Stegostoma tigrinum: one gene and its partner. Each later gene encodes a partner of the first gene's protein in a complex. Links are inferred from orthologs where the notes say so. Each region holds a gene or a part of one and is shown on either strand. Other genes may lie near its edges. The genes, in order: zbtb8os and rtraf.

What was found.
Region 2: zbtb8os (region 1) and rtraf share a complex: the UniProt entries of both Homo sapiens proteins name them as parts of the tRNA-splicing ligase complex. The link is inferred for Stegostoma tigrinum from reciprocal best matches to the Homo sapiens genes ZBTB8OS and RTRAF.

The regions. Positions count from the first base shown.
Region 1 is NC_081377.1:45,044,709-45,057,589, forward strand, and holds the start of zbtb8os (protein archease), read right to left. Parts: upstream 6,266-12,881; 5' UTR 6,218-6,265; coding exon 6,136-6,217; intron 5,326-6,135; coding exon 5,301-5,325; intron 4,129-5,300; coding exon 4,007-4,128; intron 1-4,006. Other genes in the region: iqcc (IQ domain-containing protein C), read left to right, coding at 6,335-6,403, 9,812-9,898, 11,410-11,553. UniProt on the Homo sapiens protein: Component of the tRNA-splicing ligase complex required to facilitate the enzymatic turnover of catalytic subunit RTCB. Together with DDX1, acts by facilitating the guanylylation of RTCB, a key intermediate step in tRNA ligation.
Region 2 is NC_081363.1:45,471,934-45,484,006, reverse strand, and holds the start of rtraf (RNA transcription, translation and transport factor protein), read right to left. Parts: upstream 5,817-12,073; 5' UTR 5,710-5,816; coding exon 5,649-5,709; intron 4,311-5,648; coding exon 4,186-4,310; intron 457-4,185; coding exon 357-456; intron 1-356. UniProt on the Homo sapiens protein: RNA-binding protein involved in modulation of mRNA transcription by Polymerase II. Component of the tRNA-splicing ligase complex and is required for tRNA ligation.

The DNA of each region.
Region 1 (12,881 bases):
CAAAATGAAGAAAAACAAAAGTTCCTACACTTGAAACACTGACTTGCCTGGTCTCTCCACAGACGCTGATTTGATCTCTAAGTTTCTAGTAGTTCCTTTTTTTGTTATAGATAAATGCATATACAAAATGTGGTAACCAGCAGTAAGTTTTCAGTGAACATCTGCCAGAGAAAACAATGCCTGTTTGTTCAAATGGTGTCCTAATAAGATAATAAAATCTGCAAGGAATATTGTATTAGAGCTTTGAAGAAATTATCTTCTTATAGAGTCGATAGCCAGAGACTATTTCCCAGGGCAGAAATGGCTAGCACGAGGGGTCATAGTTTTAAGCTGGTTGGTGGAAAGTATAGAGGGGATGTCAGAGGCAGGTTCTTTACGCAGAGAGTTGTGAGAGCATGGAATGCGTTGCCAGCAGCAGTTGTGGAAGCAAGGTCATTGGGGTCATTTAAGAGACTGCTGGACATGCATATGGTCACAGAAATTTGAGGGTGCATCCATGAGGATCAATGGTCGGCACAACATTGTGGGCTGAAGGGCCTGTTCTGTGCTGTACTGTTCTATGTTCTATGTTCTATCTCATAAACAACTGAAAATCTGTTGTAATTGTACAAAGCACAAACTGTAGACTCTGAAAGAGGAAAATTAGGAGATCTTCAAGGGCATTAAGGCCTTGTTCATTTTCTACAGATTCCTGTATTTTACAATCAACAAATACTGAAAAAAGAACCTCGAAATGGTCAGTCACCAGGTAGTAACAAATATTTTCTGCAATCATAGCATTGATTTCTTGAGGTAGGAAGGTTGGAAATTCCATTCTGTGGCTGGTGTGAAGTGCCAGCTGCTAAAGGGAAGCACTGAGGGTGACTCAATCTTGTTGGAAACACCCAGCAAACTTTATGGATAGTTGTTCCCAGTAGGAACAGGAATCAATCCCCCAATAGTTCCAGTTGAACTATGCATGTGAACAAGGGACAAGAGTAGACAATTTAGTCCTTTGAGACTGCTTCATCATTCAATAAAATCATAGTTGATCAGGTTTTAACATCAACTATACATTCTTTTATACCTCTGATAATCTTTCAAACCCCTGTAGCCAAGAACCTACCTCTGCCTTAAAATATTTTAAGGATTCCACATCCAATGTCTTTTGAGGAAGGGAATTTGAAAACTCACCACCCTCCGAGAAAGAAACGTTTTAAATTATCACTGCTTTATTTTTAAACATGATCTAGTTATAGTTTCTTCCATAAGAAGAAATATCCCTTCAACAGCCACCTGGTTGGTCCCCTCTGGATCTTTTATGTTTTAATTAAGTCACTTCTGACTTTTCTAAATTCCAGAGGATGTAGACCTATCCTGTCTAGCCTTTCCTCATAAGCCTCATTCATTCCAGGTATTAGTAAACTTTCTTTGAACAGTTTCCAATCCATTAACATACGTCCATGAGTACAGTGACTAGTACCAGATACAGTACTCCAGATGCTGTCTCACCAGAGAGATGTCTAACTGAAGCATAACCTCTTTTATATTCAGTGCCCCTCACAACAAACCATAGTATTAGCTTTCCTGAATATTTGCTGTATCTGCATTCCATCCTTCTATGATTCATACACTAGGACAGCCAGGTTTCTCTGCATCCCAGATCTGCAAACTCTTATCATTCAAATAGTGCTTTTTTAAAAATTCTTTCTGCCAAACTGGATAACTTCACACTTTCCCACATTGCACTTCATTTATCAAATCTTTGCCCGCTCAAACTATCTATATCCCTTTGTAGGCTTCCTAACAGCTCAGTTTTCGACCTTTGTGTCTTCAGCACACCTTTGATTCCTTGATCCAAACGGCTTACATAACTGTAAGGAGTTGAAGCCCTAGCAACAATTCTTGTGGCACACCATTCATGGCAGCCTGCCAGTCTGAAAAAGATCCACAAATTCCTACTTTCATTTCCTGTTAGCAATATGCTCTTCACCTACACCACAAGTTACAGGTTGATTGATACAGATTGATTAAATACGATTTCTCTTTGAGAAAACCATGAGGGCTCCACCTGATTACCTTGAACAAGTGCCCGATTATAACATCTTAAATAACTTGAACACTTTCCCTATGACGGATATTAACTTAACAAGAACGCAGTATCCTGCTTTCCAACTCCCACCCTTTTTGAATAAAAGAGTTACATTAGTTATTTTCCATTCTAAACAAAACTATCCCTGAATCTACAGAGGTGTAGAACATTAGAACCAATGTATTAATATTTCACTGGTTACTTCTTTTAATACTCTCAGGATTTGGGACCTTGTTAAGTCATAGTTCCAATAATTTACTCAGTATTACTTCATTCGTAATTGTAATTTTGACTTCCTCCCACCTTTTCAACTCCTGATATACAGCCATTTCTGGGATGCTACTCGTGAAGATAGAAGAAAAATGTCTGATCAGAAAGTATAGCCTGCTGAAAACAGGCCTCGATCCAGTCCCAGGAACTAAGCATGTCCTGATTTTACAGCAAATATTTGTAACTGATTATCTTTAGCAAAATACCCTCAAGACAAGAAATTTTAATTGGAATCTCCTTATCAAAGCAGTAAGGCTACATTTCAACTTCCACACCTTCAATTAGCTGAATGCCTCTCTTCTGTATAACTAAGGAACCACACCTAAAGTATTCCAATGACTCTATTTGGAACAGGGCAGGGCAGTGAAAGACCCATTCAGCCAAACGTCAGCACACGCAACTATCTGCACAATTAACTGTTAAAGAATAGGTCAAAAATCAATATCTGCAGGGAGCGCCTCAATGAACTTTAAAATTTCTGAAGTAAACACAACATAGGATCAACAACTGCGTCACTGCTTGCCCAACCCACTGGCAGGAATTCAATCACAGTTAGAGTACACATCAGAGACAATGGGAACTGCAGATGCTGGAGAATCCAAGTTAACAAAGTGTGGAGTTGTATGAACACAGCAGGCCAAGCAGCATTTTAGGAGCACAAAAGCTGACGTTTCGGGCCTAGACCCTTCTTCGTCAGGGTCTAGGCCCAAAACATCATCTTTTGTGCTCCTAAGATGCTGTTTGGCCTGCAGCGTTAATCCAACTCCACACTTTGTTATCTCTAGAGTACACATCAAACTGGTTGCCACATTCTAACTGAGCAGGGAGATGGAGAATGGCAGACTGTTGAAATTATGGCAAAGTCTTTTGCTGATCTCAAAACAAATAAAACAAAGATTTATTTATCATATCAGCTTACTGCGTTAAGTTTTTGCATCAGAAAGTTTGCAGTGATTCAATTTATGACATTAGCTTATCTATCAGCTTAGCCCATTTGTTAGAACAGTACCCAATTATTTTAGTATTAACATTTTTAAAACAAATTTTTGTTATAATTTGCCATCAGGTAGGCAACTTGTTGCTACCCATTAATGGTAATGGAGACCAGGCATCAATTCCCATTGACTTCCTTTCTAATGAATGTACCCCACTGTTACTTTCTGTACTGATAAGCAATTGAGCAGGTACCAAGGACTCAATATGCAAGTGTGAACTGCCTCTAATTTTGTGGATTGACAGAGTCATAATGGCCATTACACTCCAGATCACCTTTCCACTTAATTGAATAGTGCTTATTAAATTAATATTTGATAAAAAATTCTCTTCTAACAAAAATTATTCTATTTTTCGAAAATTTATTTGATTGCACAGAGGATCAAGTGTACCAAGTTTAATACAGTGTTTCACATTTATCCTCTTCTCCAAACTTCATGGGTAGTAAATGTCTTGAGGCTCACACTTAAACCAAGTAAATTATGTCCTGTATCCTCATACCTTCATCTCAAAAAAATGTGAAACATGCAAAATAATCCATTTGGAACCAAAGAAATGATCTAACCGCCCTGACACTTGAGCATACTAGCCTAAAGAGGAATGTGTCACGGAAATGTTTTGTCTATTGAAAAATTATACATACAAACGTACACAGAACGTCACCATAGTTACCTTCAGCCTCTACTTCAATTGTTGTTAATGGCTGCACCGTTTCAATATCAGTCATATATCCAAACATAGCCATTACAACCTGTTCAAATGCCTCTTCTAATGTATCGCCCCATGAATGTAACCTGTAAAAAGTAGCAATTTCATGGACTTCAGCACTGGAAATTAACTGTTTCATAAATGTAACACACAGATTGCCAACTCTGTTATATTAATCACAAACTATGAAGTTAGTGGCTGTCAATTACTTTCAACTACAAATCCCAAAGGGTCAGCCAGACAGAAATCAGATCATAGAATGGTATGACAAAAGACTGCACAATAACAAAGCCTTTTTAAATTAATTTTGAAGGACAGTCACTACTGGAGATCTGGTTGATCTTTTAGGAGCTTGTGGAACAGAGGTGTATTTCTAACATTTACTGTTTGTATATCAGTTGATATAGCATACAAATAAGACGACTCAAACATTATACACAATATCTGCAAATTTTCCAATTACAATTAATAGGAACTAACTTGGGAAAAAAAGTGTATAACTGGTAATATATATTAATTTCTCCTACCGGTGTCAACAATTGCAAGGCCTGAAAATACTCCAATATTGATGTTTCTTAAAACATTTCCTTTACAGATCGTTCCAGTTTGCAAAGTTAAATTGCAATTATGGTGCATCTTGTGTTCCACAATTCAAGTAGAATATGCAGAACATCTTATATACATGTCATAAGATTAAAATCTCAGTCACAACACTAGATTGAATGTGTTCCTCATTTCAATAATCTTCCTGTAAGTAAACATAGTCCGACAAAGTTTTCAGACAGCCATTGATATTTTGGGAGAATTATAAAATTATTTTCCTGCAAAAAGTGAATACAGAATGTACAATTTGTTTAAACTTACAATAAATTTTGGAATTCCTAGCCCCATAATTTCATTACTATGATTGATAAAATTTAATTCTTTTTAAATTCAATTAAATAAAGTTTAAGTTGATGTGATGATTAAGCTTAACACTTTGAAGAAGGTAGCTTATATATACACTTTAAGAAAATAAGCTCAATAAAACCAACAGTTGATCTGGAACAAAAGCATTCAAATATTTGTTATGAGAAAGACGATACAACAAAATTCACATAGTGAGTCAATGTGGAATCCCAAAGTTGCAATAAAAGCTGGCATGAATCATAAAATTCAGATATTACAGGTTACTTCCCAAGTATCAAAGAACTGTGTATTCCAAATTGTTTTTAATAGCTAACTGTTTCCATAAAAAGTAGTTGTTTTAAGAACTTACTGTACATCTGCAGTGTGGTCCAAGTCTAAGAACAAATAAAAAATCAAAGTTACAGAAATTAAAAGCTGAAAATCATTTTTATAAACCTTGTCATTTTATAATACATGAGATTACAATGTACCGCGACTAAGATGACCCACTATATCAAAGAAAACAATGACACCGGCAGCTGTATTTGTTTAATTTACCCCACAACACTGGAAACAATTATGGATTATTTGCTCACTTCCTGCTGTCTTAATTGGTCACCGTGACTACGATTTATCTTGGTTGAGATTTTGCCCAGTGTTCTAGTGAAGATATCATACTTTACTGTCTGGTGATACACGGGAGGCTGAATGTTCTGGGTGGCGATTAGCACATTCTGCTTTTTACCTACTCAACAATTAAATGTGCGCTTTCCAGGTCAGGTGCTGGGCAGCATCGAGAAGCTAGAATAAATCACAAACCCCTTAACTTTTCCAGGTCCAGACCTAACTGCACCTTCCCATTTTTAACTCGGCTGCGAGCATCTGACAACATTTGTTTTTGATTCTTAACCAAACACAGAGAATGTTTGAGAAACTCAGCAGGTCTGGCAGCGTCTGTGAAAGAGAATTAATCAGTCAATGTGTAGAATTTTAGATCGGGGATTAGGCTTGATTCTTAACTTGAAGAGTCCAGCTAGACTCCACTCCCAACCCGATTACGTCTCAACCCTCTACACCCACAAGGCCCAGGCTCCTTCTCGCCACCATCCCTCCTCCCTCCACAGTCTGCCTGGGAACGTCCTCGGCTGGAACCTGGGGCCCGGTACTTCCGCCACAAAGGCGGCACTAGACGAAGCTGCACTCACATTCGTACTTCTTGCTGACGGGCGGATATTTCTCCTTCACCGCTTTCTGCGCCGCGGTCAGGGAATACTCCCGATCGTCCATCGACCCGCCGAGAGCCTCCTCTGCGCATGCCGACAGGACCGGGTCCCATCCCTCGCATCCCCGGATGGACTCACTGAGCGGCACCCGATTGGCTGAACAGACTGTCCGTCATCAACGATGAGGTCACCTCCTGCCCTTAGCAAGATGGCGGTGGGCGAGAAGAGCGACGGTTTGTGTCTTCTTCAGGTGAGTATAGCGTGTGACCTTTCAGCTTCAGTGGAGTCATTTGTCCCTTCAGTGAGATACACGAGGACTCTTAATGCCAGAAAGTCTGAATGCTGTCGATTGTCGAATATTGAAAACTTGTTTTATCATTGAAGCCAGGTGGTTACCATGGTAACAACTCAGTGCATTTCGAAGACTGGATTTTGTGAACCCCCTCCCTCTTTTAGGCTTGTCACAGTTCAATGTTTGAACAGAGAATGGATGTGATCTTACTGGAAAGGATGTAGAGGAGGTTCACCAGGAAGTTGCCTGGATTGGAGCCATTCTTCTCTGAAGGGGGGCTGAACAGGCTGGGGCTGTTATTCTCAGAGCATTGAAGGTTGAAGTGTGGGAACTGATTGAAATGTATGAAATCTTGAGGCGTAGAGACAGAATAAATAGGTCAAAACATTTCCCCTTTGTGGAGGGATCAATGACCAGAGGGCATAGATTTAAATTAAGAGGTAAGTGATTTGGGGGCACTTAGGAAGATTTTTGAAAAATCATAGATGAGAGGGATAGAATCATTGAAATTCACTGTTTAAAATGGTGATAGAGACAAGAGTCATCACAAAATTTAAGCATTTAAATGATTGCTTGAAGTGCTGTAACAAATAAGGCCTCAGGCCAAGTACTCCTCACAGCGCCAGGGACCTGGGTTTGATTCCAGCCTTGGGCAACTGTTTGTGTGGAGTTTGCACGTTCTCCCCGTATCTGCATGGGTTTCCTCCAGTTTCCTCCCACAGTCCAAAGATGTGCAGGTTAGGTAGATTGGCCGTGCTAAATTGTCCGTAGTGTTCAGGGAGGTGTAGATTTGGTGGGTTATAAGGGGATGGATCTAGGTGGGATGCCCTGAGGTTCGGTGTGGACTTGTTGGGCCAAAGGGCCTGCTTCCACACTGCAAGGATTCTTCTATTCTATTGTTCTACTATTCTACTGAAAAATGGGACTAGAGTAGATAGGTTTTGATGACTGGCTTGGACGAGATGAGTTGAAGGGCCTTTTTCCATGCTACAAAACTCTATATATCTGACTCACTCAATGTTGGAGTAGTTTTGCTTGCTTAATCTTTTAATATTTGATTTAATTTTATCATTGTTACATGTATTGAGAGACAGTGAAAGTATTGTTTTGCATGCGATACAGGCAAATCATATCTTACATAAGTACATCGAGATAACAGAAGTGAATGCTACAGAGAAGGTGCAGAGAAATATCAACTTTGATATATGAAATGTCCACGTAAAAATCTGCCAAAAAGCAAGAAAAAAGAAGCCGTTCTTGAATCTTTTGGTACATGTTTTCAAACTTCTATCTTCTGCTTGACGGAAGTGGGTGGAAGAAAGTATAACCAGGGTGGGATAGATTTTTGATTATGTTGGCTACCTTCCTGAGACAGTGGGAAGTACAGGCAGAGTCAATGGACAGCAGGCTAGTTCCTTGATGAACTGGGCTGCATTCACAATTCTGTAATTTTTTTGTAGTCTTGGTTAGAGCAGTTACCATGCTATGCTGTGATATATTTGGATAGGATGCATTCTTTTGGTGCATCTATAAAAATTGGTAAGAATTACAATGGACGTGCAAATTTCTTTAGCCTTCTGAGGAAGTAGGGGTGTTTATGTGCTTTCTTGACTGTAGCATCGACATGGATGGACCAGGACAGATTGATGGTTATATTCACTCCTTGGAAGTTGAAGCTCTTGACCATCCTCACCTCAGCACTACTGATACAGACAGGGTTGTATACTCCACTTTGCATCTTGAAGTCAATGACCAGCTCCTTAATTTTGCTGACATTGAGGGATAGATTGTTGTGTTTACACCATGCCACTAAGCTCTCTCTTTCTTGTTTAAGATCTGACTCACTATGATAGCGTCATTAGCAAACTTGTTAATAGATTTCAAGCAGAATTTGGCTGCGCAGCCTTGAGTGTATAAGGAGAATAGTAAGGCTCTGATTACACAGCCTTGCAGGGCACCAATGTTGAGGATTATTGTGAAGGAGGTGTTGTCGTCTGCCCTTATTGATTATAGTCAGTGAATCAGAGAGTTGAGGATCCTTTTGCAGAGGGAGGTACAGAGTCCTAAGAGTCTCAGAGTTTGAAGATGAACTTGGCTAGAAATATGATGTTGAAAGTGGAGTTGGGGTATGACTTAGGTGTCCTTGTTATCCAGATGTTCCAGTGTAGGGTCAAGGGAGATGGGAGATGCTGTGGACTGTTGCAGCAGTAAGTGAACTGTAGTATATCAAAGTAATCTGGGAGGCTGGAGTTATGTGTGCCATTTCTCACCCCTTGAAGCAATTCATAATGATGGCTATCAAAGCCACCAGTTGGTAGTCATTAAGACATGCTGCTTGATTTTTCTTTGGTGTCTGGATGATAGTGGTCTTCTTGAAGCAGATGGGAACCACAGATCATACAAAGGAGAGGTTAAAAATGTCAGCAAATACTCCCACCAGCTAGTCTGCACAGGATTTGCGTGCACAACTGGGAACTCCATCAGGCCAGTTGTTTTCACTGGGTTCCAGTGCCATGGGCACAGGTTTAAAAAGGCATAGAGCTTTGTGTAGAATGGGAACTGAAGTTGGGATTAGTTTAGAATGGTGTCATGGATGGCACAGATGTGATGGATCAAAGGCTGTGTTTGTGTGCAGTACTGTTCTATGAAGTAAATGCTGTCTTTTCCTGGAGACTGTAGAGATAATATCACTGAATTGGTAACTCAGGTCTGAGCTAATTCCCAGGGTTATAGATTCAAATTTTGTCATGACAGTTGGTGGAATATAAATTTAGTTAACAATTCTGAAATTGAAACCTAGGAGATGTTGAAATGAGCATTCGTTGACATTTTAAAACAAAAAAATCTCAGTGATGAAAATCTGCCAGCCTTATCTGTCTGGCCTACACGTGACTCCAGACCCACAGCAGTATGGTTAATTCTTAACTGTCATCTGAAATGGTCAATCAAGTTCTAGAGCAGTAAAGGATGTACATTAGATGTTGTGGTTGCCAATGAAATAATGAACAATGCACAATTAAGTCTGTTTTAATGTTCATAAACACATTTGTCCGTATGGCCCTTTGAATCTGCTCTGCTATTAAAGATGATCATTATATGATATAAAGTAGTGACTGAAGAGACTAGATATTGCCAAAACTATGAGCCCTGACAGTATTCCAGCTGAAGACCTGTGCTCTTAGCCACGTTGTTCCAGTACAGTATTGGCATCAACCTGACAGTGTGGAAGATTGCATGTGCCCAAAAAGCAAGTCAAATTAAACACAGCCACTTACAGTCTACTCTTGATCAATAGTGAGCGAAGGTAGGTGTTCTCAACAATGCTATCAAAGACATTTACTCAACAAAATCTGTTCACTGTTTCAGTTTGGAGTCTGTCCGGGCTATTCAGCTGCAGATCTCATTAAAACCATCGTTCAAACAAGGACAAAAGAGCTGAAGTACAAAGCTGAGGTGAGATTGACAACCCTTGACATAAAGACAGAATTTGACCAAGCATTGCTAAGGATACCTATGTCAGGCTTCTACCTATTGACTACAGCTCTGCCTTCAACACTATAATTTGAACCTAATCTCCAAACGCTGAGACCTAGGTCTCTGCCCTGCCCTCTGCAACTGGATCCTTGACTTCCTGACCCACAGAGGATGTCAGCGTGGATAGGCAACAGCACCTCCTTTAAGACAATCCTCAACGCTGGTCCCCTCAAGGCTGCGTACTCAGCCCCTTACTGTACTTCCTGTACACATGACCTTGGGGCCAAATTTTGTCTGAACTCCATCTATAAGTTCGCTGACCACACTACTGCTGTAGGCCAAATATCAAGCAATGACAAGATAGAATACAGGAGAGAGATAGAGTGCTTGGTGGCATGGTGTAAAGATAATCTGTCCATCGACATCAGCAAAGCTAAAGATCTGATCGTCGATTTCAAAAGCAAGGAGGAGGGCATGTCCCTGCCTACACCAATGTTGCTGAGGTGGAGTTGCTCGAGAGTGTCAAGTTTCTAGGAGTGATGATCGCTAACAATTTGTCCTAGACCACCCATGTTGATACCGTAGTCAAGAATGCACAATGACCCTTCCTCTTCCTCAGGAGGCTAAGGAAATTCAGTATGTCCTTAAGGAGTATGGAATGAACTGCCAAAGGAAGGGGTAGAGGGTGGTACAATTACAACATTTAAATGATACCTGGATGTGTATATGAATAGGAAGGGTTTAAGAGGAATTTGGGCCAAATGCTGGCAAATGGGACTAGATTAATTTAGGATATAGGATCTGTTTCCGTGCTATACATTTGACCCTTACCAACTTTTACAGATACACCATGTAAACATTCTAAGTGGATGTATCACAGCTTGGTACAGCCACTGTTCTGCCCAGGACTGAGAGAAACAGTGTTGTGAACACAGTCCAGTCCATCACACAAGCCAACCTTCCATCCACACTTCTCTTCCAACCTCTTCCATCAGGCAAAAGATACAAAAGGTTAAACATTTTTCCCCACAGATTCAAGAATAGCTTTTTTGCCACTGTTATTAGACTTCTAAAGTACAGGGGTAGATGAATAGGTCTGCGTGGGTTGCTGTTGGGGTATTGTGGACTTATTGGGCCGAATGGCCTGATTCCATACTGTAGTGATTCTATAATTCTATGATATAGGAGCTACTTGCTTAAAAAGTAATATTTTTTCATAAAAGTCAATATTTATTGAATTGTCAACATTTTTGTTAAGCACATCTGTTGTGAAAAATTAGTCAACAGAGCTGACTGTTATTTTAAAAGTCTTGCAATCATTTTCCTTTAACTTATTGGTAAATGGTCAATGTTCAGTGCAAGTGACAAGTTCTTTACATATTTCTACCAGTACAGTGGCTGGGGCTTTTGTTTATTTTAGAAAAAAACTCTTTGACATATAATTCTTGCTGTTACATGCATTTATTTTCTCCACTCTGTCCCCTTTCTAGGCTTGTGTTAGAGGTTATTTGGTGAGAAAAAGTTTCCAGCGTTTACGCCAAGACTATGAAAATATTGTAAAAGAAATCGAGGGAGATGTGCTCTTGTTGGAGTGGGATGGCAAGGTGTTACCAAGGCCTAAATTTAAGGAGCAGGTACCTTTCACTGGATAGCGAGTGTGTTAATTTCTGTATGTATGGCTATCTTTTTGAGTACCTTGCCTATCACAACATCTGATACAAATTTTAAGAAACAAAGCCAATCTTTTGCATTTTACAGATAACACTCTTCAGAAATATAAATGCTGAAGCCATAGCCTTTTCACAGCCAATTCAGCAATCTGATCCAAGCCCCACACAGCACTTAATCTTTGAATGAAGTTACTCAGTATATACCTTATATAAGATAGCCTTGATAAGTGGCACAAGCCTGTAGTTTAACAGAAAAATGATGCAGCTTTGAAATAATCAGATATCTGCCCAGCATCCACATTGGAGCAGCATAGAACTTAAACCTCAATACCTCTGTGTTCTTGCGGCGATCACTTAGGAAGTCTTTCCAAATTCTACCTCTCTTTCTTTCCTTCTACCCCACTCTCACTCAGCCACTCACCGTAGTTGTAACAGCAGCAAATTATTTCATTGAGTATCTTGAGTCATATTTATTCCTTAATCATCATCATGCTGTCTCCAGTTTGTTATTTCGTTGCTGTTTGTTTCTCTTGTTATGCTCAAGTTGACTCTTGCCTCCATTGAATTACAACAAGGCTTACCAATAAAGAAAAGTTCAGAGTGTGTGGTTTGCTTTGGGATATCCTGAACAGCATAATTTTTTGTGTTATGTCCTCCTTCTGTTCTGATGTAGCTGGAAAGAATCTTGAGAGCTTTACAGCTAACTACTTCAGTCTCTTTCAATCCCCCATTTGACTGAATGCTTTTCAGACCTTCTTCTGTTTCTTTGAGCTGTAAGCAATCCCTATCTACTGTTCTCCTGAGAACAGTTTTCCTTTAAGTCTATAAAGAAAAATATTTGTTTGAATCTAATTTATCCTTGCACAAGACTAAGCAACTTGGCTTTGCCACGTGCTGTTGTTTTAACTTCAGACCATATGTGGTTTCCTTTAGCACAGGCGTATTTTAGAGGTTTTCCATTTTTCATTTTTGGGGTTGCTCTGTCAATCTCAGTCAGATCCTGGACCAACATTATGAAGCACACTGATTTGAAATCTCCAACAGAGTTTCTAAATACCTTCCAGTCACAATCAATGGCATAACCACCACTGAATCCCCTACCATCAATACCTGGAGAATTCCTGTTGGCCAGAAACTTATCTAGACCAGCTAAAGAAACAATGTTTACAAAAGTGAGTCAGCAGCTGGGAAATCAGCAGCTAGTAACTCACCTACTGTTTCTTTGATGCTAGTCAATCACCAAAAAGTTACAAATCAAGAGTGTGGTGAAATGCTGTCCACTTGCCTGGATG
Region 2 (12,073 bases), on another chromosome or scaffold:
GCATTTTATTGGAGATACCACCTCTCCTATCAGACATCCGAGGACTTTTCAGTGTTATTCACATGCACAAGCTGTTCAGTCATGCAGGAATAATTAGAGTTGACATCAGGCTGATGAATTTTGAAATCCATAGTCGGTCAGCAACTTGATGCTGCCTAAACATTCTGTTGCAATGGTATATAATGACTATGTCAAATGAAAACTTATTCATCGAGTTATAAGCTGACATTATTAAAGACAAGAGGAAAATATAACGTAAACAAAAAAAGCCAATTTTAAAACACTGGAAATCATAGAAGGATAGATATGCCAATTATAAAATAGTTAGCAATATCAACTTGTTTAAAAACTCATACCATTGTCTGAGTATTCAAGTCTCACAGCCAGGCCGAGAAGCCAGTCAACATTTTCTTGCCTTTCTTGAGCCTTGAATGGGCAGTTTACATCTGCCAGATACTGAAAATATATAAGTCAGTTAAAAAAAGGATTAAGTTTACAAAAGGATTCATAACTGAAAATAAATTTTCATACAGATGTTAAGTGTGCAATGTTGACGGCTACAATAGATGATAGGAAATCTTGCATTATTAAAATACATTGGACTGTGACCATATTAACAATAAGAGCATCTACTCAAACGAAGAAACATACATTTCATGTCATTGTTCACAATTTATTATAATATTAGTATTTTATAGGAATAAAAAAAAGTGAATACACAATTTCATCTCCATTTTCAGACCAATTCTTGCTGTTTTTTCTGCAGGTAGTTCCAATTATAACCTCTCAGGCTGCGATCTTCCTTCCTATTTCCATCAATGTTTAACAACATTGGGGAGCTGTGAGAAGCACAGCAATATGGTAGATTGAGCCAGATTTACTTTAGGCTTAAGCCTGTAAATTTGCTGAGAAATTTCTACAACAAATTCCATTTCTAGAACACCTTTAAAGTAGTTAAATGGCCAATGAAACTTAATAAATGGACGAATTACATGAGATGAAATATTTAGATAATTGATCTGAAGCTTTATCTAAGACCCACGAAAAGAGGTGGATTTTAAGGCATGACTGAAAAAGGGTAGAGACACTTAGAGAAGAAATTTCAGAGTTGGTGACAAGTCACTGAAACTATAATAATTCACTATTAAAACAAAGAATATGCAACTTGACAGAATTGAAAAAAATTAACACGGTAATAGTCCCAGAGATGGCGAAGGGTGAGGTCACGGAGAGAGTAACCAAAGATGAAAATGTTCAAATCAAAATATTGCCAGATTTGAAGGCAATGTAGGTCAGCATGTACAGTGAGAATAGGTCAACCGGACATGGTGCAAATTAAGGTATAAGCAGAGTTTTGGACGAGTTCAAATTTCTAAAGGCTAGAAGATGGGAAGCTGAAGAACACTGGAATAGTCAAATATACAGGAAATAAAGGGACGGAAGAGCCGAGATAGTGAGTGGTGACATAGTTGGAATAAGGCTGTATTTGTGCTGCAGCAGGCCAACATCTCATTTCACAGTCAAACAGAATTCTAAAGTTGCAGCACTTTCGCTGAGCCTCTTTGCAATAAGACACTGACTATGATTTATTTTTAAACTCATGAAAACAAATAACAAATCAGTGATAGAAATGGGGGCAATTCTACAGGACAGGACAGAAAATTTAATTATTTTCATGTATTTCTCATAGACTCATGGGGACTCAAAAGTTCTGAGGAAGGGTCACCGGACCTGAAACATTAACACAGAACATAGAAAAGTACAGCACAGTACAGGCCCTTCGGCCCACCATGTTGGGCCGTGGATTAATCCTAATCCAAAACTAAAATAAAATAACCTACATTCCCCTCAATTCACTGCTGTCCATGTGCATGTCCAGCAGTCGCTTAAATGTCACTAATGACTCTGCTTCCACGACTACCACTGGCAAACTATTCCATGCGCTCACAACTCTCTGGGTGAAGAAACTCCCTCTGCCGTCTCCTCTATACCTTCCTCCTAACACTTTAAAACTATGACCCCTCGTGGCAGTCAATCCTGCTCTGGGGAAAAGTCTCTGGCTATCGACTCTATCCATGCCTCTTATTACCTTGTACACCTCGATCAGGTCACCTCTCTTCCTCCTTCTCTCCAGAGAGAAAAGTCCGAGCTCTTTCAACCTCTCCTCGTAACACAAGCCCTCCAGTCCAGGCAGCATCCTGGTAAACCTCCTTTGCACCCTCTCCAAAGCCTCCACATCTTTCCTATAATAGGGTGACCAGAACTGGACACAATATTCCAAGTGTGGTCTCATCAGGGTTTTGTACAGCTGCAGCATAACCTCACGGCTCTTAAAAACTCGATCCCTCTGTTAATGAAAGCCTTTATGAATGAGCCTGCCGTGGGGAGCCTTATCAAATGCCTTGCTGAAGTCCACGTGCACCACATCCACTGCTCGACCCTCGTCAACCTGTCTCATGACCTACTCAAAGAACTCAATAAGATTTGTGAGGCATGACCTGCCCCTCACAAAGCTATGCTGACTCCCTTTTATCACGCTATGCTTTTCCAAACAGTCATAAGTCCTAACCCGCAGAATTCTTTTCAAAACCTTGCTGACCACAGACATAGCACTGATTTCCCTTCACAGATGCTGCCAGACCAGCAGGGCTTTTCCACCAACTTCTGTTTTTGTTTGGGACTCAAAAGTAATTGGCATTCAACTATAATTATGTCAGGACAGAAAAAAACTTGCATGAGATCAGAATATCTAAATTGCATTATGCCAATTAAGTACTTCTGAAGTTAATGATTACTGTAGTATAAGAATATGTGGCAGGCAACTGTTAGATCAAGGACTCTCAGGCAGGAATCAGCTAAATAAGATAATTAGTTTTTGTGGTTTTGGATGAGCAATGAAAATTTACCAGGGCACTAAAAGTGTCCACCTTCCTTTCAATAGGACCACAGAATCTTTGATATCAACCTAAGACGGCAGACAATGTCTTGGATTTACACCTCAGCCAAAAAAATGCATCGGCCTCTCAGCAGTGCACTGAAGAGTCTGTCTCGATTGTGCATTGCAGGTTCACGGAATGGGTTTTGAACAGAAGATTTTCTAGCTTGAGGGAAGGCCCTAATTTTGCACCAATGCACGAGAGAATAGAACAAAGTCTCAGAAAATTTTGAATAGCCAGAAAATTTGGGTTAAGGGAATCAGATATTGATTTTGAAGATTCTGCAAAAGTTGAAATGTATAAAAATTCCTTTTCTTGGCTTCAAGTAAAAAGAGATATAGATATCGGCTTGTTTAAAAAAAGGGAGATGTGGCATTTATGGGTAGAAGAACGCTGTCATCATTCCTTTTATTTGTCTGGGTCCAAGGGCTCACTTAATTTACACTGGTAGAGGAACAACTGCCAGTGAGAGTTAACAAGAAGCTACAGCTTTTAATCAAGCTAATTTATTGCATGATAGAAATTAGGTAGAGTTACACTTTGTTGCTAAGAATATTGGGAGATATAAATGACATCTGTCCCCTTCAAGATTCAGAGTTATTCACCCAATTACTCTACCCATTACATTATAGAAGAAATAAGATTTTTTTTCCCCCCAATACAGTCTTACAATAGGGAATCTTGGCAAAGTGATATTTGAGGCAGAGGGTTTAACGTTTAATACAGAGAAAGGTATTTAAACCTCATAGGAAAAAGGGCAAAAGAAGTGGGAATACAGCAGATAGTAAGAAAGCAGAATAGCTCCCCTTTCTACTGTAATCTGAAATATGCATCAATATATCTTAACATATTAAATAATACTTATTGTACAAAGAGGTACACAAGTACATCATTTAGTTGATATTCTTATCAAAACACAAGTCAAATGTTGAACACTGGCAACTAGCTGCAGAACTGACAACAGGCCTTGATATACAGTCAACAGGTAAGAATGAAATGACAGAAAAGGAAAAAGCAATTTCAATATCAACCATATTGTTCTGACTGTCCATGCATACCGATCTGTATCCTTCTCTTTCCCCACCCAAGCTATTTCCATCACTGTACACAGTTGTTTCCACAACAATGTTTGTAACAAGTTCATATTCAGGGACTGGAAGTACAAGTCACTAGTGAAACGATATGTGAATATATTATGTGCAAATATGATTAAACACATACAAAGCACATTATTCAAAATGAAACTCACCTTTTCAAAGTGTTTTGGCCATTCATTGCTGTGTACATTTCTCAGGTTGCCTCTCTCTTCAATTTTATAATGTCGTATCTTCTGGTCTTCAAGCCACACAATTAAATTTCTAAATTCCGTCTCATCTAGAATATAAAAAAATAACGATTTCAGACACATTTGTTTTAAAAAATGACAAACTGCATTCTACAAACCAAATGAATATACTAAATTAAACCTTATCACTAACATCTCAACCTCAAAAGGAGATTGATGTCCAGACTTAGATCTGCACATCAATGTACTAATTTTAATATCAAGGACTGGCACATTTAAGTCCAGTGTTGAAGCATCAGCAAAGCAGGCAAAACTTCCGTAACTCTCTATAAAATGTATATTTAGATTTAAGGCTTATATTCAGATTTTACAATATGTCTGACTTTAAATATTGTAAACCTGTGTTCAAGCTTCCTTCAGAAAACAATATTTATCAGTCAACTTCTGCTCAGTTTTATGATTAATGCATTGTTCCATGCCTCAGTGAAAAAGTAAACTGCTAATTTGCTTAGTTTAATTTACCAGTTTCAAAAAGATTGAAACAAAATAGAAATGCTGAGCATAGTCAAGCTGTTTTTGGAGAATTACAATTTGATTCTATGCCCAAAATAGAAAAATAAAACTGAATGAAAGAATCTGATGTTTTTTAAAAAAGAGGCCTTGTAATTAAGTATTTTCCTCAACATTGTTAGTTATATGGTAAGGAAACAAATACATAATTCCAAAATGTGTCATCGTTCAAAAGAACAATTTAAACTGAGGGTTTCTGCACTGGTTCAAGCACAGACAAAAGTTCACATGGCCTCATACAAAAGACAGCAAGGTAATTCTCTGCTCCACACTCCTCCTTCAAATAACACAAGAGAAAATCTTGGTGTCTTAAGTGTTTGCAGAATTTTGTTGTGAAGTTGAATTTTATTGCAGAAACAATTAATCAATCATTCATATTCCTTTCAAGTATTCTGAAATTGTTTACTATACGTGAGTAACGAAGTGTGAAACCAACAAATGCTGGAGATCACAGCGGATCAAACAGCATCCACGGAGATGCAACTGAAAAGACGGAGAGAGCTCCTGTTCGATTCTCCTCTTCACCGACCAAAATCAGATTTTTCATTTGTCCGTAGCCTGTGGGAGCTTGCTATGCACAAAATGGCTGCCCCATTTAACCACACTATTAAGAGTAACAATAATTACACTTCAGCGATTTTTGGGCAGCATCTTGGCCACTGTTCCGGCACCGTGTTCAAACAGTGAGTTGTTTTTAATTCTGAAATGATGTTGAAAGGCAGCGTGGAATTACTGGGCCCGGCTCTGTGTCCAGCCGCAGGCCCTAACTAAGGTGTTGAGGGGTGGGTGCTGCCCGCCGACGGGCGCGGATTGCCCCGCACAGGCCCCAGTGAACGGTTGCCCGCTTCTCCCTGTACCTTTACAGTCAAACACGCTGCTGTTGTGATACTCAAGAGCCGACAGTTTCCTGCGGAACATCTTCGCCTCCACCACGTTACACAGTACCAACTCCCGCAAACCGGCCCGCAACGACAACGGCGTCACCGACTAAGGCCTACCCTCCTGCCGCGACGCGATTGCGTCACCACACCCCTCTGGCTAAAGCGCTCGCGCTCTTCGCCGCCGTGTGACGTCACACCCGCGGGTCTCCCAGAGCAACCGTGGAGTGGATGCTTCAACGAAACTTTATCTTTGAAGCGACCACCTCACTCGAGGAGCTTGTACTGTATACGGCACGAATCAGGCCTCACACCTCCCTACCCCCAGCGGGGGATGAAAAAAAACTTCTTAATTCAAGAACAGGTGAGGATGTGATGAAACAAAGAACTGCTGATGCTGGAAATCTGAAACAAGAACGGAGATAACACAGTGTGGGATTTTCAGAAGGTGATTTTGTGAAGAAGGGTCTCGGCCCTAAATGTTAGTTTTCCTGATCCTCTGATGCTGCTTGGCCTGCTGTGTTCATCCAGCTCCACATCTTGTTATCTCAGATTCTCCAGCATTTGCAGTTCCTACTACCTGTCTAACACAGTGTGGAGCTGAATGAACACAGCAGGCCAGGCAGCATCAGACGAGCAGGAAAGCTGACATTTCAGGCCAGGACCCTTCTTTGGGTCCATACTGTGTTATCTCTGACTCCAGCATCTGCAGTTCTTACAATCTCTGAAACAAGAACAGAAGTTGCTGGAGAAACTCCGCAGGTCTGCCAGTGTTTCTGGAGAGAGAAAGACAGAGTTGACGTTTCTGCCCCAGTGAAGCTTTAAAAGTTCTGCACAAATTCAGCCATCCAGACCTCCTGAGTTTCTCCAGCAATTTCTGTTTTTCGTTCGGGTGAGAATATCGATAACGCAATCACAAGGAACAATTGAAGTGACTCCAATGACCAGACCCACCCAAGCTCAAAATAGAATCAGGTTTGTGATTAAAAGGCAAAAGAGATGCTGTAGGTCAGAAACAAAAACAGAAGTTGCTGGAAAAGTTCAGCAGATCTGGCAGCATCTGTGAAGAGAAATCAGTTAGCATTTCAGGTCCAGTGACCCTTCCCAAAACTGATGGCAGCTAGGAAAATGTCAGTGTATATGCAGAAGATAGAGTGGGTAAGGAGTGAGTGATACGTGGACATAGAGCCCAAAGAGAGAAAAGAGCAGTTGGACAGACAAAGGAGTTGATGACCGTCTGACTAGGAACATAAATATCTTTTGATGGAGACTGTTAGTGGCTAACGATGCACAGTGTGTTATGGCAGACTGGTAACAAGGCCTAGTGTGTGGCGTAGGGGGCTAGGACATGAGAGAGTTCAGGGACCCACTACCCACTATGGACAGGACCAGTGCCAAATACAAGATTCCCTGCAGAGACTGCAGCAAACGTCCAACCATTCTACGGCTTCCTGAAGGTACACAAACTGGAAGTACCTCTTAAACCCACAGTCTCCCTGCCAGGCACGCCATCGCATAAATTAGCCTAGGAACTACAAAGGAGACTAAAACACCTCATCAGCAAGTCACCCCACTCAATTCACTCAACCCAGGAGTTCTTCAATTCCATCAAGGACATAAGAATAGATGATGACAAGACCATGGTATCATTTGATGTTATTACCCTTCTAACATTGATAGACATACCACTAACAAAAGAAACACTGGCAACACTACTAAAACAAGAACAAAACCCAAATGACAGCATCTCCACAGACAACATGCTGAAGCTACTGGACCTATGCCTTACCACCCACCACATTTTAATGGCTAAATATATGAACAGATCAATGGGACACCCATGGGATCAACTATCCCCGGACTAATAGCTGAAATGGTGATGCAGAGACTTGTAAGTATGGCCCTTCCACTAATTCAGCTAAAACTATGGATACGTTATGTGGACAACACCTTCGTTATTATTAAACAGACCAAACTAGAGGAGACATACAAAATAATAAACAACAGCCTCATCAGGATCAGATTCACCAGAGAAGAGGAGAAGAACAAACAGCTCCCATTCCTGGACATCGTGGTGGAATGCAGGACCAATGGGAAATTCCTAACAAAGCTACACAGGAAAGCCACACACAGAGACCAAGTACAAAATTTCAACAGCAACCACCCTAATACACATAAGCAAAGTTGCGTGAGAACATTATTTAAACGGGAACAACACACTGCAGCAGCACAGACTACGCCAAATGGATACCCGAAAAACTGGGCCAGATGATGCCTATTACATGAACAACACCAAGAAGATACTACGCATCCTGAAACACTCATCACGCTACCTTACATCAGGAACATCTCTGAACTGACCACAAGACTCCTACGACCACTGGGGATCAGAGTAGCACACAAACCCACATCAACCCTACCCCAACTGCTCACTCGGACCAAAGACCCACTACTCACAATGGACAGGACCAGTGCTGTAAACAAGATTCCCCGCAGAGACTGAGGCAAACATTACATTGGACAAACAGGAAGGAAATTAACCTCAAGGGTACACGAGCATCAACTGGCAACAAAAAGACACAACTAATACTCATCCATCTCCATCCATGTGGATAAGGAAAACCACCAGTTTGATTGGGACAACACCAGGATCCTGGGACAAGCAAAGCAGAGACAAGGAATTCCTAGAAGCCTGTTTCTCCTCTAAGAAAGCCATCAATAAACACATTGAGTGAGACCCCATATACACTCCATTGTGTGGGGAAACTGGAAGTGAGGTAATCCAGCTCAACAGACACGAGAATTTAAAAAGATAGGCGTGAACACAACAGCACTTCAATGGAGGCTGCATTGATGATGTTACCCAGCAGGGTAATGAAACGTCTGCTGAACAACGAACCAACTCAGTGAACCAACCAACCACAACATCCACAAACAAGCTACAAATCTACTCCAAAACCTTAGAAGCTCTATATTGAGCCCAGAGGGCTGCAAGGTTCCCAGGTGGAAAATAAGGTGTAGTAGTCATTTTGGAATCAAAATTTTAACTGTGTTCCTCTCCCCACAAATGCTGCTAAACCTGCTGAGTTTCTCCAAAACTTCATTTGTATTATAAAAATCCAGCATCTGCCATACTTTACTATTTTTTATTACCACATTTAGGGTCTCTGTAAAGGCTAGCCCTCACCTCAACTTTTTCTTACAAATTTAGGATAGATTGATAGTTTAATTTCAGTAACGCAATATCACCATATTGATTTACAATTCGTTTAAAATGATACTTTGATAAACAACTGTACACCACTCCCCAATGCCTCTTCTGTGTCAAGTATCTTACTTTTTTCTCTACTGTTTAAAAATGAACTTTTACTCACCATTGATTTTAGGCCATGGTTTTGGATTTTTCACCATATTTTTTCAAGTTCACAGCAGGAACTATTAACTATTAAACTGAGGCGGTCTTACTTCTTTATGGAGAGAAAAGAGAATCCTTGTTCCAGGCTCAGTTTTCCTGCCTGATGAGTTATTTCTTGTTGTAAATTGGACGGTTGAAAAGAAGATGTGATTCTCTTTCTTAATGCTTAATGTTGCAATCGAATGTTCGCTCACTCGCTTCCCCTTTTCCCCAGCTTACGCATTGCTGACACCTAATTGAACTATACCAAATGGCTGAGTTTTCAACTGCTTCACTGAATTTGGAATACTGTGTACAGTTCTGGTCGCCACATTACCAAAAGGATGTCGAAGCTTTGGAGAGGGTGCAGAGGAGGTTCACCAGGATGTTGCCTGTAATGGAGGGTGCTAGCTATGAAGAGGGGTTGAGTAGGTTAGGATTATTTACTTTAGAAAGATGGAGGTTGAGGGGGGCCCTGGTTGAGGGCTACAAAATCATGAGAGGTATAGACAGGGTGGATAGCAAGAAGCTTTTTCCCAGTGTGGGCGACTCAATTACTACGGGTCACGATTTCAAGGTGAGGGGGGAAACGTTTAAGGGAGATATACATGGAAAGTACGCAGAGGGTGGTGGATGCCTAGAACTTGTTGCCAGCGGAGGTGGTACAGGCAGGCACGATAGCATCATTTAAGATGTATCTAGACAGATACATGAATGGGCAGGGAGCAAAGGGATATTGATCCTTGGAAAACAGGCGACAGATTTAGATAGAGGATCTGGATTGGTGCAGGCTTGGAGGGCCGAAGGGCCTGTTCCTGTGCTGTAATTTTCTTTGTTCTTCGTTCCTTTAAAACCTTTTTCTCCTTTTGCTACAATGTAACAAAGTGGAAATTGCCTCGCCTGCAGGACTTCATCAATTGCCCCCAGTACTACCACTATATACAACACCCTTCGTTGTTTCTATTGGCTCTATTTGATTACTGAATTCACCATTTGCCAGTTGACAAGGAAAAGAAAGAAGAAATTACAATCACCTTGTGTGCTGAGACATCTCCATTTCCAATGGATTAAAAAAAATTGACATGCTAATGTTCCCAGCACTTCCTCCTGTGCTTCTCTCACCTGTGAGACCAGTGCAGGACCATAGAGTCATAAAGTCTCAGAGCTCTACAGCATGGAAATAGACCGTTTGGTTCAACTCATCCAAGCCGACCAGATAGCCTAAATTGATCTAGTCCCATTTGCCAGTATTTGGCCCATATCCCTCTAAACCCTTCCTATTCATATACCCATCCAGTTGCCTTTTAAATGTTGTAATTGTACTAGCCACCACCATTTCCTCTGGCAGCTCATTTCATATACGCATCACCACTGCATGATAAAGTTGGCCCTTAGATCCCTTTTATATCTTTCCTCACTCACCTTAAATCTATGCCCTCTAGTTTTGGACTTTGCTACCATGGGGAAAGGACTTCTGTATTCACCCTATTCATGCCACTCATGATTTTATAAACCTCTGTAGCACCGATCTGTGTGGGACACTGCAGGTTACAGGCCTCGATTCTGAAAAGTAACCCTATTCCACCACGCTCTGTCTCCTATCTTCAGGCCAGTTCCATATCAAAATTGGCACTTCTATATTCTATGCGATCTAACCTTGCTAACCAGTCTACCATGCAGAACCTTGTCGAACGCCTCACTGAAGTCCGTATAGATCAGGTCCACGGCCCTGCCTTCATCAATCCTCTTCATTATTTCTTCAAATTACTTAATTAAATTAGTGAAACATGATTTTCCACTCACAAAGCCATGCTGACTGACTCTACTCAGTCCTTGCCTTTCCAAATACGTGTAAATCCTGTCGCTCAGGATTTCTTACAACAACTTGCCCGCCACTCTTGTCAGGATCACCAGTCTATAATTCCCTGGCTTTTCCTTACCACGTATCTTAAATAGTGGCATCATATTGGCCAGCCTCCAGTCTTCTGGTCCCTCGCCTAAGGCTATCAATGAACAAATATCTCAGCAAGGGACCCAGCAATCATTTACCTAGCTTCCCACAAAATTGTAGAGTACACCTGATCAGGTCCAGGGGATTTATCCATCTTTATGCATTTTAAGACAGCCAGCACCTCCTCCTCTGTAATATGGACATTTTTCAATTTATTTCCCAAGTCCTCTAGCTTCCATATCCTTAATATTGATGCAAAATACTTATTTTGCCCCCCCCCCATCGCCTGTGGTTCCACACATAAGCGGCCTTGCTGAACTGTAAATGGCCCTGTTTTTCTCCCTAGTTACCCTTTTGACCTTAACACAGTTCCAGTTCACTCCCAAGTTTTCCACACTTTCTTTTAATGAGAGAAAGGAAAGATTTAAGTGATCTGAAAGCATTTTGGCTTTAAGCCACTCTCAGTTTTATTGTTCATTTTGACCTGTGAATTTAAGAGAACAAATTAATGGCTCGCTCAAAAAATTGCTATGCTTAGTGAGTTAATGTGTTTGTATCCATTTTTCTGATTTAAAATGGGCACAAGCTTAGAATCATTTCGGAAAAAAATGATTACAGATATAACAGATTGAGGAAAGAAAATAATTTAATAAAAAAAGACTCCCTTGTTCACTCCACACTGCCCTCCAACCCCACCACACCCGGCACCTTCCCCTGCAACTGCAGGAAGTGCTACACTTGCCCCCACACCTCCTCCCTCACCCCTATCCCAGGCCCCAAGATGACTTTCCATACTAAGCAGAGGTTCACCTGCACATCTGCTAATGTGGTATACTGTATCCATTGTACCCGGTATGGCTTCCTCTACATTGGTGAAACCAAGCAGAGGCTTGGGGACTGCTTTGCAGAACACCTCCGCTCGGTTCGCAATAAACAACTGCACCTCCCAGTCGCGAACCATTTCAACTCCCCCTCCCATTCTTTAGATGACATGTCCATCATGAGCCTCCTGCAGTGCCACAATGATGCCACCCGAAGGTTGCAGGAGCAGCAACTCAT